3 linked regions of the Ovis aries genome follow. The protein of the gene in region 2 interacts with the protein of the main gene of each other region in a pairwise test. Links are inferred from orthologs where the notes say so. Each region holds a gene or a part of one and is shown on either strand. Other genes may lie near its edges.

Evidence for each region.
Region 1: the proteins of MTUS2 (region 2) and CCHCR1 interact in binary tests that used the Homo sapiens proteins (3 or more experiments, as listed by UniProt). The link is inferred for Ovis aries from reciprocal best matches to the Homo sapiens genes MTUS2 and CCHCR1.
Region 3: the proteins of MTUS2 (region 2) and SLC25A6 interact in binary tests that used the Homo sapiens proteins (3 or more experiments, as listed by UniProt). The two-hybrid records come from large-scale screens. The link is inferred for Ovis aries from reciprocal best matches to the Homo sapiens genes MTUS2 and SLC25A6.

Annotation. Positions count from the first base shown.
Region 1 is NC_056073.1:27,063,008-27,066,751, reverse strand, and holds the start of CCHCR1 (coiled-coil alpha-helical rod protein 1), read right to left. Parts: upstream 2,262-3,744; 5' UTR 2,069-2,261; coding exon 1,853-2,068; intron 1,556-1,852; coding exon 1,489-1,555; intron 1,411-1,488; coding exon 1,197-1,410; intron 1-1,196. UniProt on the Homo sapiens protein: May be a regulator of keratinocyte proliferation or differentiation.
Region 2 is NC_056063.1:31,674,590-31,678,333, forward strand, and holds the start of MTUS2 (microtubule-associated tumor suppressor candidate 2), read right to left. Parts: upstream 2,476-3,744; 5' UTR 2,319-2,475; intron 1,304-2,318; exon of another isoform or gene 1,151-1,303; intron 1-1,150. UniProt on the Homo sapiens protein: Binds microtubules. Together with MAPRE1 may target the microtubule depolymerase KIF2C to the plus-end of microtubules. May regulate the dynamics of microtubules at their growing distal tip.
Region 3 is NC_056080.1:6,639,122-6,642,865, forward strand, and holds the start of SLC25A6 (ADP/ATP translocase 3), read left to right. Parts: upstream 1-1,473; coding exon 1,474-1,584; intron 1,585-3,272; coding exon 3,273-3,744. UniProt on the Homo sapiens protein: ADP:ATP antiporter that mediates import of ADP into the mitochondrial matrix for ATP synthesis, and export of ATP out to fuel the cell.

The DNA.
Region 1 (3,744 bases), on a different chromosome or scaffold from region 2:
TTCTCCAATGCATGAAAGTGAAAAGTGAAAGTGAAGTCGCTCAGTCATGTCCGACTCTTAGCGACCCCATGGACTGCAGCCTACCAGGCTCCTCCGTCCATGGGATTTTCCAGGCAAGAGTACTGGAGTGGGGTGCTATCGTCTTCTCCACATCATTAGGCTACACATTCTGAATTGGAGAAGTCTGAAGGACACTGAGACTGCTGAATTCTGACTTAAGGGCAGGGAAAAGTTTGATGGAGGTACAAAGAGAGGTGATGGCTTCCAGTATCAGTATGGCAAGGCCAGACGCCAGTTAAGATTATTTAACTGTTAGATATCCTGCATGAGAAGTCTGAGAGGGCAGCATCTCAATAAATCACAAAGTCCCAACCTCTAGAGAGCTGAAACCAGCTTATAAGATGATTCTTGACACAGTTCCCTCACTGAGGCCCAGAACCAGAGCACTGTAAAAAAATTTTTTTTCAGCTGTGCCATGCAGCTTGTGGGATCTTAGATCCCAAAGCAAGGACTGAACATGTGTCCTTCAGTGAAAGCCTGGAATCCTAACCACTGGACTCCCCAACACCTTTTTACAGGATCTGTAGCCTACAGAAATTAAGTGACTGGACAAAGGACCCCTAGAGGGTAGCCAAACAAGCCACAGAGTCTCCATCCCCTGACACTCTCACGCTCCCCTTTCATCATCCTCCTTCTTTCCCTTTGACAGGGCCCAAAGTAGACCCAATTGCAATCCTGCTCAGGAACAAAATGGCAGACGGATGGTCCAGTACATTTGGGAAAAGATTCACATGAAACATCAAGAATAAGAATTTTCACAGACAACACACTGACAGAGAGCATGGCCAGCTCCACCAGATGAACTCGTACTACTACAGCACCCAGTCTGTATACCCAGCCCACACTTCTTCAGCCTGCCTTATACTACGCTTAGTACAATCAGCTGTGGGTCAACCAATTTCTTCCCTTAGGATTTAAAATTCTTTGATATCAGGATATCTTATTTATTTTTGTTATCTTTGTCCCTAGCATCTAGCACACTGCTATTATTTATGCATTGTAGACACCAACAATTGCTTCTAAAAAAAAATGAACAAATTGTGGAACTAAGGGTTGAAAGAGGGTAAGGACTCTATTACAGTCAAGAAGGGTCATTGGCAAGCAAGCCCAAGAGAACAGTAACATTAGATCCATACCTGCCTCTCCACTCTGGTTCCTGCCCTTTGCCAGAAACTTCCTGTTCCCACATGGTAACTTGAGGTCTCTGGTTGTCTGGCCGCCTCTCTAAAACATCTTGATGGGTTGGGCGCTGGACCAGGGGAGCGTCTGAGGCCCATGTGGGAGCCATTCTCGGCAGTGTTGGAAGGGGCCGAACTTGGAAGTGGGATGGGGGAATCAGCCCAGTGGAACCTAAAGAATCGTAAGGACAAAGGTACTCAGTTCTCCAGGGAGACACAATCACCAGTCCCCATGCCAGGTCCCACTGACCTGAAGGTCGAAACATCTCCACATTATTTGAAGTCTCTAGAGTCGGTGTACAGCCATCTATGCCCCCCTAAACAATAGGAGAAACAAAGACACTCCAATTCAATTTTCAGGCCTCCTTCCAAAAAGAGAGCCCCTACAATAACAAAGTCATAATCCTTAAATAACAGCCAGGTCCATCCGACTCTTAGCTTTTCTTATTCTACTTCCCAAAAGAAGCAGGAAGTACCCCAAGATCCCTTGCTTGTCTCAGTCTGGTTCCTGACAGACTATGGCAACAGCCATGAGGTGGAGACAATTTACTGAGACAGGCTGAGGGGCTGTGAAGTTTTACTCATACTTTTAGAATTCTGGACAGTGCCTTTACCCTCCTCCTTAAGTTTCTATGGTCTCTGCAGTTCCTGGATGAAGGTGACAATTGAGGTATGCGATGCAGGGGCCGTGAGCCCAGTCTCCAGAGTTCTCTCCATGGCTCACCAAGACCTTGGGGAAGCCCATCCAGACACCACCAAGCCATGACTCCCGGGTCCTTCCCTATTAGAGCGCTGACCCAAGGCCTGGCCCCTGATGAATGCGGCCACATGTAGCACAGAATGCCTCCCCAGAACCCCTGGGGGAATCCAGGCAGCCTGGACTCCTTAGCAGAAAAGCCAGCTAGTTTCGGACATCTTATCCAAACCGTGCCAGCAACTTTCCACTCAGTTTCTCTCTATCGTCCCCTCAGCTTCCATTCCTGCCTCCCACCTGCCTCTCCAGAGTCCTAGAGCAGAGAGGGCTTGTCAAGATCTCCCCACCCTCCCACCCGAATTCATCTATTTTTCTCCCAATCTGGGATCCCTATCCCTCCCTACATCACTATTTGCTTTTATCCTGAAGGAATTATGCTGGCCCCTCACCCTCTCATGTCTCAGTAGCCTGCACTCCCTCCCTCCTCTCTCCCAGATCCTCCTGAGTCTTCGCCCTGCTGGACGCTGAGCTCTAAGGCTGTTCTGACCACCTCATTTGTTCCTTTACCCTGCCCTTACGCCCCTCCGCCCGGTGGACCCCTGAACCCACCCCCGCACCCCCTCTCAGCCCCTTCCCGCCCCCAACTGACTCTTCCCGAATGCCCCTTACCCAGCGCGAGAGACCCCACAGCCCTTTGGCCACACCCCCTACACCTAGCTCCCGGTCGCTGCCTGGATCCCTGGCCGCGCCTGCGCAAAGCGGGCAGGTTGGCGGGACGCTCTTAAGCCTGTAGGGTTACCTCTCCGGAAGGAGGCGGGGAAGCGGCGCACGCAGGCGCAGTAGTGTCTAAAGCCAGGCCCAATTAAGGCGTTAGGGGTTTCTCCGCGCCCTGGCGGCTCCTCCCAACTCCGGGAACCCGGGAAAACTTGTGAACTAATCAGAAAACGCGGAAGGCGGGAGATCCCAGCGCGTCGCCCAATGGAGAGAAGGAAGGCAAACGAGATGGCCAATCAGAAACGGCTCGGGGGACGCGCTCACTCCGCTCGAAGTCCGGACCCGGGAATTCCGAAGGCGGGGTCGACGATGCGCGCGCGCGGAGACCGCGCCCCTCCTGGCCCTGGCTTCTTCGCTGTCAAACAGCCGCAGGAGCACCAACCCCGGCCGATCCCGAGAGGTCCTGGGCTGCGGCATAGGCTGGCATTACCTGGAGAGGGAACCATTCCGAGACTGCACAGCGCGGTAGATACGAATCCGGGCTGGGGCGGGGAGGGAAAAGGCTGGATTTGTCTTGAATCATCCTGGGAAGCCCTTTCCTCTGTTTTTATCCCACCTGGAGAAACCAGAAAGCAGGGGTTTAGATCCACTTTGTTGGACAACGTAGAGCCCCGTTTGCACTGCCTTTGAGGGGTGACTGAGTACATTTCCCACTGGGGGTCAAGCTAGCTAGTTATGAATGAGGAATTGGTTAGAAGAGTGAAGCGTGAGCTAGCAGGCGGGTTACTCTATTAGGAAAAGCAGGTTTGACAGGAAGAAGCTTCTCATCTCTAAATTACACTGAAGAGGCAAGTTAGTATATCACACAGAAGCAGCGCCCCTCCCCCGCCCCCCCCACACCTACAGTTCGAATTTCCCTATAAGCTGCCTAATGTATTGTTGACTTGCCCAGATTGAAGGCTCCTGGAATATTTTGCGGCCTGAGGATCCGATTCAACTTCGTGCCACAGGACGCCTTCTATTTTGCACTACACTGGAACTTTCACCAAATTTTTTCCGTTGCAAAGCTGTTGACAGCCAATTTTACATCGCATCCTA
Region 2 (3,744 bases):
GCTTGGATGGAGCCAGAGTAAGGGCCCCTGAAGCTTAACATTCATTAGCTTCCCCGTCAAGGCGCCTCTGCTGGGAGACACAAAAGGCTAGAGAGGTTAATACGGCAGCATTAAAATCTCCAGAAAACCGCTAAGCAGAACTGTCGTCTCTTACATCGGTCCTCTGGACGCTGTTCTTATCTCTCTTTCACAAACCTCCATCCCTGCTGTTCCCTCTAATTTGGCAGCAGCGATTCATTATGAAAGCGCCTGTGCTGGGCTGGGCTTGTACATCCTTTCCCTGTTTGGGCTTCTCCCATCCAGCACTGTGTCAATTATGTAATAGCCAAAACAGGGAGTTTCACAGAATACGAAAAGCATAGTCGCAGCTCTTACATAAGCCTTCACAAACCACCCATAAGATCCACCCCTAGACTGCAATATTGGGAAATTACATAAGGTAGAAAGAAAACACTGATTCAGCAGCCAAGTTTATTTCCAAACTTAAAGACAATAAAAGCTTTTTTGCACTTTTTTGGCTAGTCTGTATTCACTTAATGAGTGTTGAATGTGATAGAAAGAATGATCTTTCAATAAATCTTGACCGTCTTTCCATGTAAACAGAAAGGAGTATCTTGACACCACGACTCAACGTCACTGTCACTTCTGCACAGAGAGATGTCCCACTTCCCAACTTAGTCAACAGGGGACCATGTATCCCGATAAACATCAACTACTGGGGGACTTCCCTGGTGGCTCAGTGGTAAAGAACCCAGCTGCCAACGCAGGAGACGCAGGTTGGATCCCTGAGTTGGGAAGATCCCCTGGAGGAGGAAATGGCAACCCACTCCAGTATTCTTGCTTGGGAAATCCCATGGACAGAGGAGTCTGGCGGGCTGCAGTCCATGCAGTTGCACAGAGTCAGACATGATTTAGCAACTAAACAACAATATCAACTACTCCTTGTGGATTTTTTAAAAATCAAGAAGATATTTTGACAAAATACAGACGTGAACATGCTATAATTCTTCAACATATCTCCCTTCCTATACCATTTTTCTCTCCCCATATTTCTAACCACTTGTTTTTTACTTTCTTTAAACCACTGTAGCCACACCTTGGGCTACAAAGTGACAAATTAGAAGAAACAGTGCTATCCTATGGGTCTCACCTCAGCTACAGATTGGAATCACTAGGGAGTTTTTAACATTCCAAATATCACAGCATCACCAAAACCCAATTAGAACAGAACACTGAGGTGCCGGTCACAAAAGGAAGTGCCCAGACATCAGTATACTTGATATTCCTACTTCTGTCTTCTTCCCTGAAAAAAAAAAATATCCATAAACACAAGTAGAGATATTAAAGGTTATCTAAATCTTTAATAACTGGCAGCTCATAATTACTGAGTTTCCATCAGCTATAAAAAATAAAATAAGTCACTAGTTTAAAAGCCACAAAGAATATCTGTGGGATCTTTTTTATTACTATCAATACGTGGTTCAAGAATTTTCACCAAGTCTCTCAAGAGCCTTTACAAAACTGTTCTATTTTTTTAACGTTTTACAATTTTACCTAATGAGTTCAAAGAAAGGGCCCTATGTTATCTTTAAGGCTATCTCCAGCTAAGACCATGTTCATCTTCCAGGAAAGTTTAGGTTTAAAGCAGAAATTGTGGCTCTGACTTCTCTTCACCCTCTCTTCAGAGATGCTCTGGTAATTCCTTTTATAACTTTACCAATGAGCAAATATTTTTTTAAAAAGCACTTATATAACAGAGAGTACAGGCGCCTTTGGTACCCTGCCAAGAGTACTTCTTTCCGTGTTTGTATTTAAAATAGAATGGTAGTAACATCACTTGTGCGCCTGAAATTCCTTCTGTGCACAGGCTCAGAATGAAAAAAAAAGAGAAAAAAAATGGATGTAGCAAACCGCTTCGCTGCTTTACCATTACACAGCTCAAAGGAAATAACACATTCATACTAAATTAAGACGAAGAGGCAGAACAAATTATCCAAAGCTGGGGGTGTTGTTGGGGTGGGGGTGGGGGATAGAGAGGTAGGGATTCGGTTGAACCAACCTACCAGCCCTTCGAAAACAGAGGATGTTTAACCTGACAGCATGCGAAGGTGCCGGAGGAGCTGCAAAAAAAACCTCAGCCGGAGCAGGTGATGCAGGCAAGAAAGAACAAGCGCTCGGATGGCAGAAAAGCCCAAATCAACCCCGCGCCGCCCAGCGCCCCCGCGGCGGGCGCTCCCCGGCTCCGCGCAGGGTCCGAGAGCGCCGGCCCCGGGGCCCCGCCAGACCCGGCCGGACGGGACAGAGGAGATTCCGCTCACCTGGGTGGGAAATAGCCTCGGGAGGTGCCCAGGAAGCCACGCTGCCCTGATGGAGAGGCTCATTGCGGACTGGCTTCCCGCACGCCTCCTCCGCCTCCAGCTCGAGTTTTCCTCTTTGGCGACAGGTCTAGACCCGGCCAAGCGGCCGCGCAGGTCCGCAGACGTGGGTGGGGGGGCCACAAACTTGCGGGGAGAAGCCGGCGGCGGCGGCGGCGCGGGCGGAGGAGGCAGGGGCGCCCCCCGCGCGCGGTCCCCGCCGCCGCCCGCCCACGCCCGCTCGCGCCCCGCGCTCACCCCGCGCCGGCACCGCCCAGGCTCGGAGCGCGGGGAAGGCGGGGTAGCGCGGACCCGGAGGCTGAAGCCCCCCAACGGATGCAGCGGCCGCCCCTCCGGCCGCCTTGCCGGGACAAAGAGAAGCGGCGGAGCGGGATGGGAGGGGGGTGCGGCGAAGCGCGGGCCTCGGAGCGCGCCGCGCAACCCGCGCGCCTGGCCGGAGAGGTGCGGGCGGCGGGGACCGCGCGGGCGGGCGGGCGGAGAGGCGCGCTCCCCGTCCGGGCCTCCCCGAGATGCACACGCCGGGACCCGCGCCCCGCAGCCCCGCAGCCCCGCCGGGGAGGCCGCAGCGCCCTCTGCCGGCCCCGGGGCCGCCGTGCGCGCGGCGTCCTGCTCCGGCTCCGCGCCGCCACGGCCCCCCGACGTCCCGGCGCCCCCGGGGGCAGGGGGCTTCGAGGAGGGGGGGGGGGGGGGTCTGCTCTTCTCCCCTGGGAACAGCTTCCAGTATGAGCTGCAGCAGGAATTGGGACCCAGCACGAGAAACGTGGAGGGCACTGGGACTCCTGATGCAGGAGGGGCCCCAAGTTGACCTCTGGAAAGGTTTGCGAAAAATGCAAGCGTTTCTTTCGAGAATCGGGTTTATCTGTGTCTAATAAACACCAAAGGCGGCTAACACTGGTCGAGGGGGTGCCAGAGAGCCTCTCGGGAATAAATATGTTGATTTATTTCTCAAATAAGTGCTCCCGGCTTCCCTAAGCAGTTCGTGCGGCAGGCTTCAAGAGGTGAGCCAGGTCAGAGAACTTCCGCTGCCTCGGGTTCAAATGTCAGTGGGATAAGCCTTTGCCTTTATAAAAATGAAATGTGGGTGCTTGTCCCCGCCCTAATTAGAAGTGTTTTCTTGGTGGCTCAGTTGGTAAAGAGTCTGCCTGCAATGGGGGAGACCTGGGTTCGATCCCTGGGTCAAGAAGATCCCCTGGAGAACGGAATGGCCACCCACTTAACTATTCTTGCCTAGAGAATTCCAGGGATCTAGGAGCCTGGCAGGCTACAGTCCATGGGATAACAAAGAATTGTACAGGACTGAGCGACTAACACTTTGACTTTCAACTTTTTAGGGGTCTTTGTCCTAACTACCACATTAAGCAGTATTTTA
Region 3 (3,744 bases), on a different chromosome or scaffold from region 2:
TCGACTTTCCCCCACTGCCGCTTTGGAGCACTCGCTCAGAGCCACCTGAGACGCTGCCTCCCAGGGCTGCAGTCCTCATTTTGCCCCCAATAAAACTTAACTCACAACTCTCAAGTTGCACTTTTTTTTTTTCTTCCACAGTCACAAATGATCAGACACGACTGAGCGAACACTGCATGCGTAAGGCCTTCCAAACATCAAGGTCTCCGGACACGCCTTTGGAGGCAGGGGGCCTATACCGCGGCGTGTGACGTATGCACACACCTGTCGGCGCGTGGGTACGTGCAACAGCTGCATACGTGTGCATGTCTGTAGACACACGTATACACACGTGAGCGTGTCAGTGAGCCTGTGAAACCAACACGCGTGCCCCTGTTCTTCTAGGAGACACCCCCGCCACCCAAGTCGCAGTGCCCGGCTTGACAGGGACACCCCGAGTCTGAGCCCCCGTGGGTCCTGGAAATGCAGCGGGCCCTCCTCCATCCCGGGACCCCCAAATGCACCCAGAGTCATCAGGGTCAGAGCTGGGGGTGCTGGGTCCTCCGGAGGCGCTCTCCTGGGCGGACCCGGGTCTCCCGGGCTGCGCACAGGCAAACCCTACTCCGAAGCCGGGCCGGCCGGGGTTCGGGGCCGTCTCGTACGCTGGGTCAGAACGCACAGACTGCATCGCTCGTCCCGCGGGGCGAGCAGGGGCCTGGAGGGCGCCGGGGGTCATCAGGACCTTTCGGGGCGGCTGGGTGGGGGGGTGGGGGTCGCGGGCGGGACTCGGGGGTCTGCGGCGCGGAGCCGGGGCCCCAATGATCGGACCGGCCAGAGTGGACGAGCCTGGGGACCCGAGCGTCCGGTGCTACGATTGGGAGAAGAGAGGGCGCGGGCCTTCGCAAAGCCCGGCCTGTCCCCTACGCCAGTGTCGTTCGTCGCCGCCGCCAGGCCAAGCATGACCTTGAAAAGGTCAGAGTGGCCGCCACGCAACCCAGCGCGACCCGCCCCGGGCACGCTCGGCGCAGAGGCGGGGCGCGGTTCCCGACATGCCCCGCGGCGAGACGCGCGGGCCAGGGGCGGGGCCTGGGTGGTGGCGCAGCCAATAGGCGCGGCGCACGGGGGCCCCCGGGGCGGGGCGAGGCGCAGCTCCCGGCAGCCCGCGGGAGGCGCGGCGCGCGCCCAGGGGGCGGGGCCGGGGCGGCGGCGCAGCCAATGGGCAAGGCCGTATGGACCCACGGGGCGGGACGAGGCGCCGCTCCCGGCAGGCCGCGCGGGGGCGGTGCGCGCGCCCAGGGGGCGGGGCCCGGGCGGCGGCGCAGCCAATGGGCGCGGCGCGCGGGGGCCGCGGGGCGGGGCGCGGGCCCCTTAGCGGCTGCGCGGTGGCCGCCCTGTCCTTTCGGTCCCGGCGGCGGCAGCGCTGAGCCAGCGGCGCTCACCTTCCGGCTCTCTCTCTGCTTCTCTGCGCCTCCGCTCCGCTCTCCGCCCGCCGCCATGACGGAACAGGCCATCTCCTTCGCCAAGGATTTCCTGGCCGGGGGCATCGCCGCCGCCATCTCCAAGACGGCCGTGGCCCCGATCGAGCGCGTCAAGCTGCTGCTGCAGGTGCGTGTCAGGCTGCTGGCGCGCGGCCGCCGGCGCCGGGCCCCGGGGAGCTCGGGCGCGCGCGCGGCCCCGGGACCGGAAGCGGGGAGGTCGCGCCGCTTTGTCCGCGCGCGGCCGGCCGGGCTGGCTTCCGGGGGGTCGCGTCACGTGGGCACCGCCGCGAGGGAGCGCATGCGCGGGGGGCGCCCGGCGGCGATGTCCGCATTGGGGCGCGGGGCGCCGCATGCGCGTCGGGCGGCCGGCGGCGGCGCCCTCCGCGCCTGCGCACTGGGGGGCTGCAGAGTTGGAGTGCGCATGCGCGGGGGGAGAGCCGCGTGGACGGACCCTGCGAGGCTGTGGGTGGGGTCCCGTCCCCTTGGGCCGTGGACGGGGAAAGATCTTTAGTCTCCGCAGTTGTACTGGTCTTCTTGCCCACTGTTCGCACTTGTTTGCGCGGGTATGAGGTGGAATAAACTGCGCTGGTCTGTTTGGAGCGTCACAAATGGGGAGCCAGTGGAATTAGCGTTGCGATGGGATTGCCACCCTTAAAGAAAATAGGATTCCCCAGGAAGGATGCTAGGAGAGCTTAAAGGCCCCGTGTAAATGTCTTATTAACGACACGTCGGTCGTTGGTGACCTCTGCAGGTGTCAACCGCAAATTGGCGCTTGTGGGCACCTGCTGTTTACCTCTGAAAGCGGTAGTAGTGTCAGTCGTGTCCGACTCTTGCGACCCCATGGACTGTAGCCCTGCCAGGCTGCTCTGTCCATGGGATTCTCCAGGGAAGCATACTGGAATGGGTTGCCATGCCCTCCTTCAGCGGATTTTCCTGACTCAGGGGTGAAACCCGGGTCTCCTGCATTGCAGGGTGATTCTTGACCGTCTGAGCCGTCTCTATGAGTATTGAGTCAGGTGCTGCTGACCTTCAGACCCCGTGAAAGGACCTCAGGGTGGAGAGCAGGAATGAGGCATGCGGGTTCTGGGAAAAAGTGACAGGCCAGGTCATGAGACAGATGTTTCCAGTGGCTGATTGTGAGCCCACTTCTTGCTTGCCCACCTCATGTTTCAGTTCAGTCGCTCAGATGTGTCCGATCATTGCCGACCCCATGGGCTGCAGCACGCCAGGCTTCCCTGTTCATCGTTTAGAAAAGCACTAAAAACTTTTACTGTGACGAGTGCTCCTTGAGGCTCTGAGAAAGGCTCTGCGAGAGTGTGTGCTCGCTCTAGGAACTTCCCATTGACCAGAATCTCATCCAGTCTCACCTCTGGCTCAATCTCTCAGCTATCTGAGCTGCTCTCCCCCGGGGGGTGTAGTCCTCGCCTTGCCCCAGATCGTAACTCGCCACTCTCGGGTCGTGTATTTTTTATAAGTGGCCATGGAGGTCTGCCCTAGGCCCTGGGTGAAGCCCTGTTCCCCCTCACTCCTGCCCCAGGGTGCAGCACGCCAAGCTTCCCTGTCTGTCGTGTGTGAAAAAGCATTAAAAACCTTCACGGTGACGAATGCACCTTGAGACTGTAAGAAACGCTCCGCGAAAATATGTCCTAGCTCGTATGAACTTCTGTTGACCAGAATCCCACCCATACCGACCTTTCCCTCACCTCTTGGAGCAGTCACTCAGAGCTGTCTGAGCTTCACCAGAATCTCCTCTAAGTCTCGGCGGTGTGCCCAGGCCCCCGGTAGAGCCCTGTGTCTCCCTCCGCCGCCCCCCAGGTGCAGCACGCGAGCAAGCAGATCGCGGCCGACAAGCAGTACAAGGGCATCGTGGACTGCATTGTGCGTATCCCCAAGGAGCAGGGCGTGCTGTCCTTCTGGCGGGGCAACCTGGCCAACGTCATCCGCTACTTCCCCACGCAAGCCCTCAACTTCGCTTTCAAGGACAAGTACAAGCAGATCTTCCTGGGGGGCGTGGACAAGCACACGCAGTTCTGGAGGTACTTCGCAGGCAACCTGGCCTCGGGCGGCGCGGCCGGGGCCACCTCCCTGTGCTTCGTCTACCCGCTGGATTTCGCCCGAACCCGCCTGGCGGCCGACGTGGGCAAGTCGGGCAGTGAGCGCGAGTTCAGGGGCCTGGGAGACTGTCTGGTGAAGATCACCAAGTCCGACGGCATCCGCGGGCTGTACCAGGGCTTCAACGTGTCGGTGCAGGGTATCATCATCTACCGCGCCGCCTACTTCGGCATCT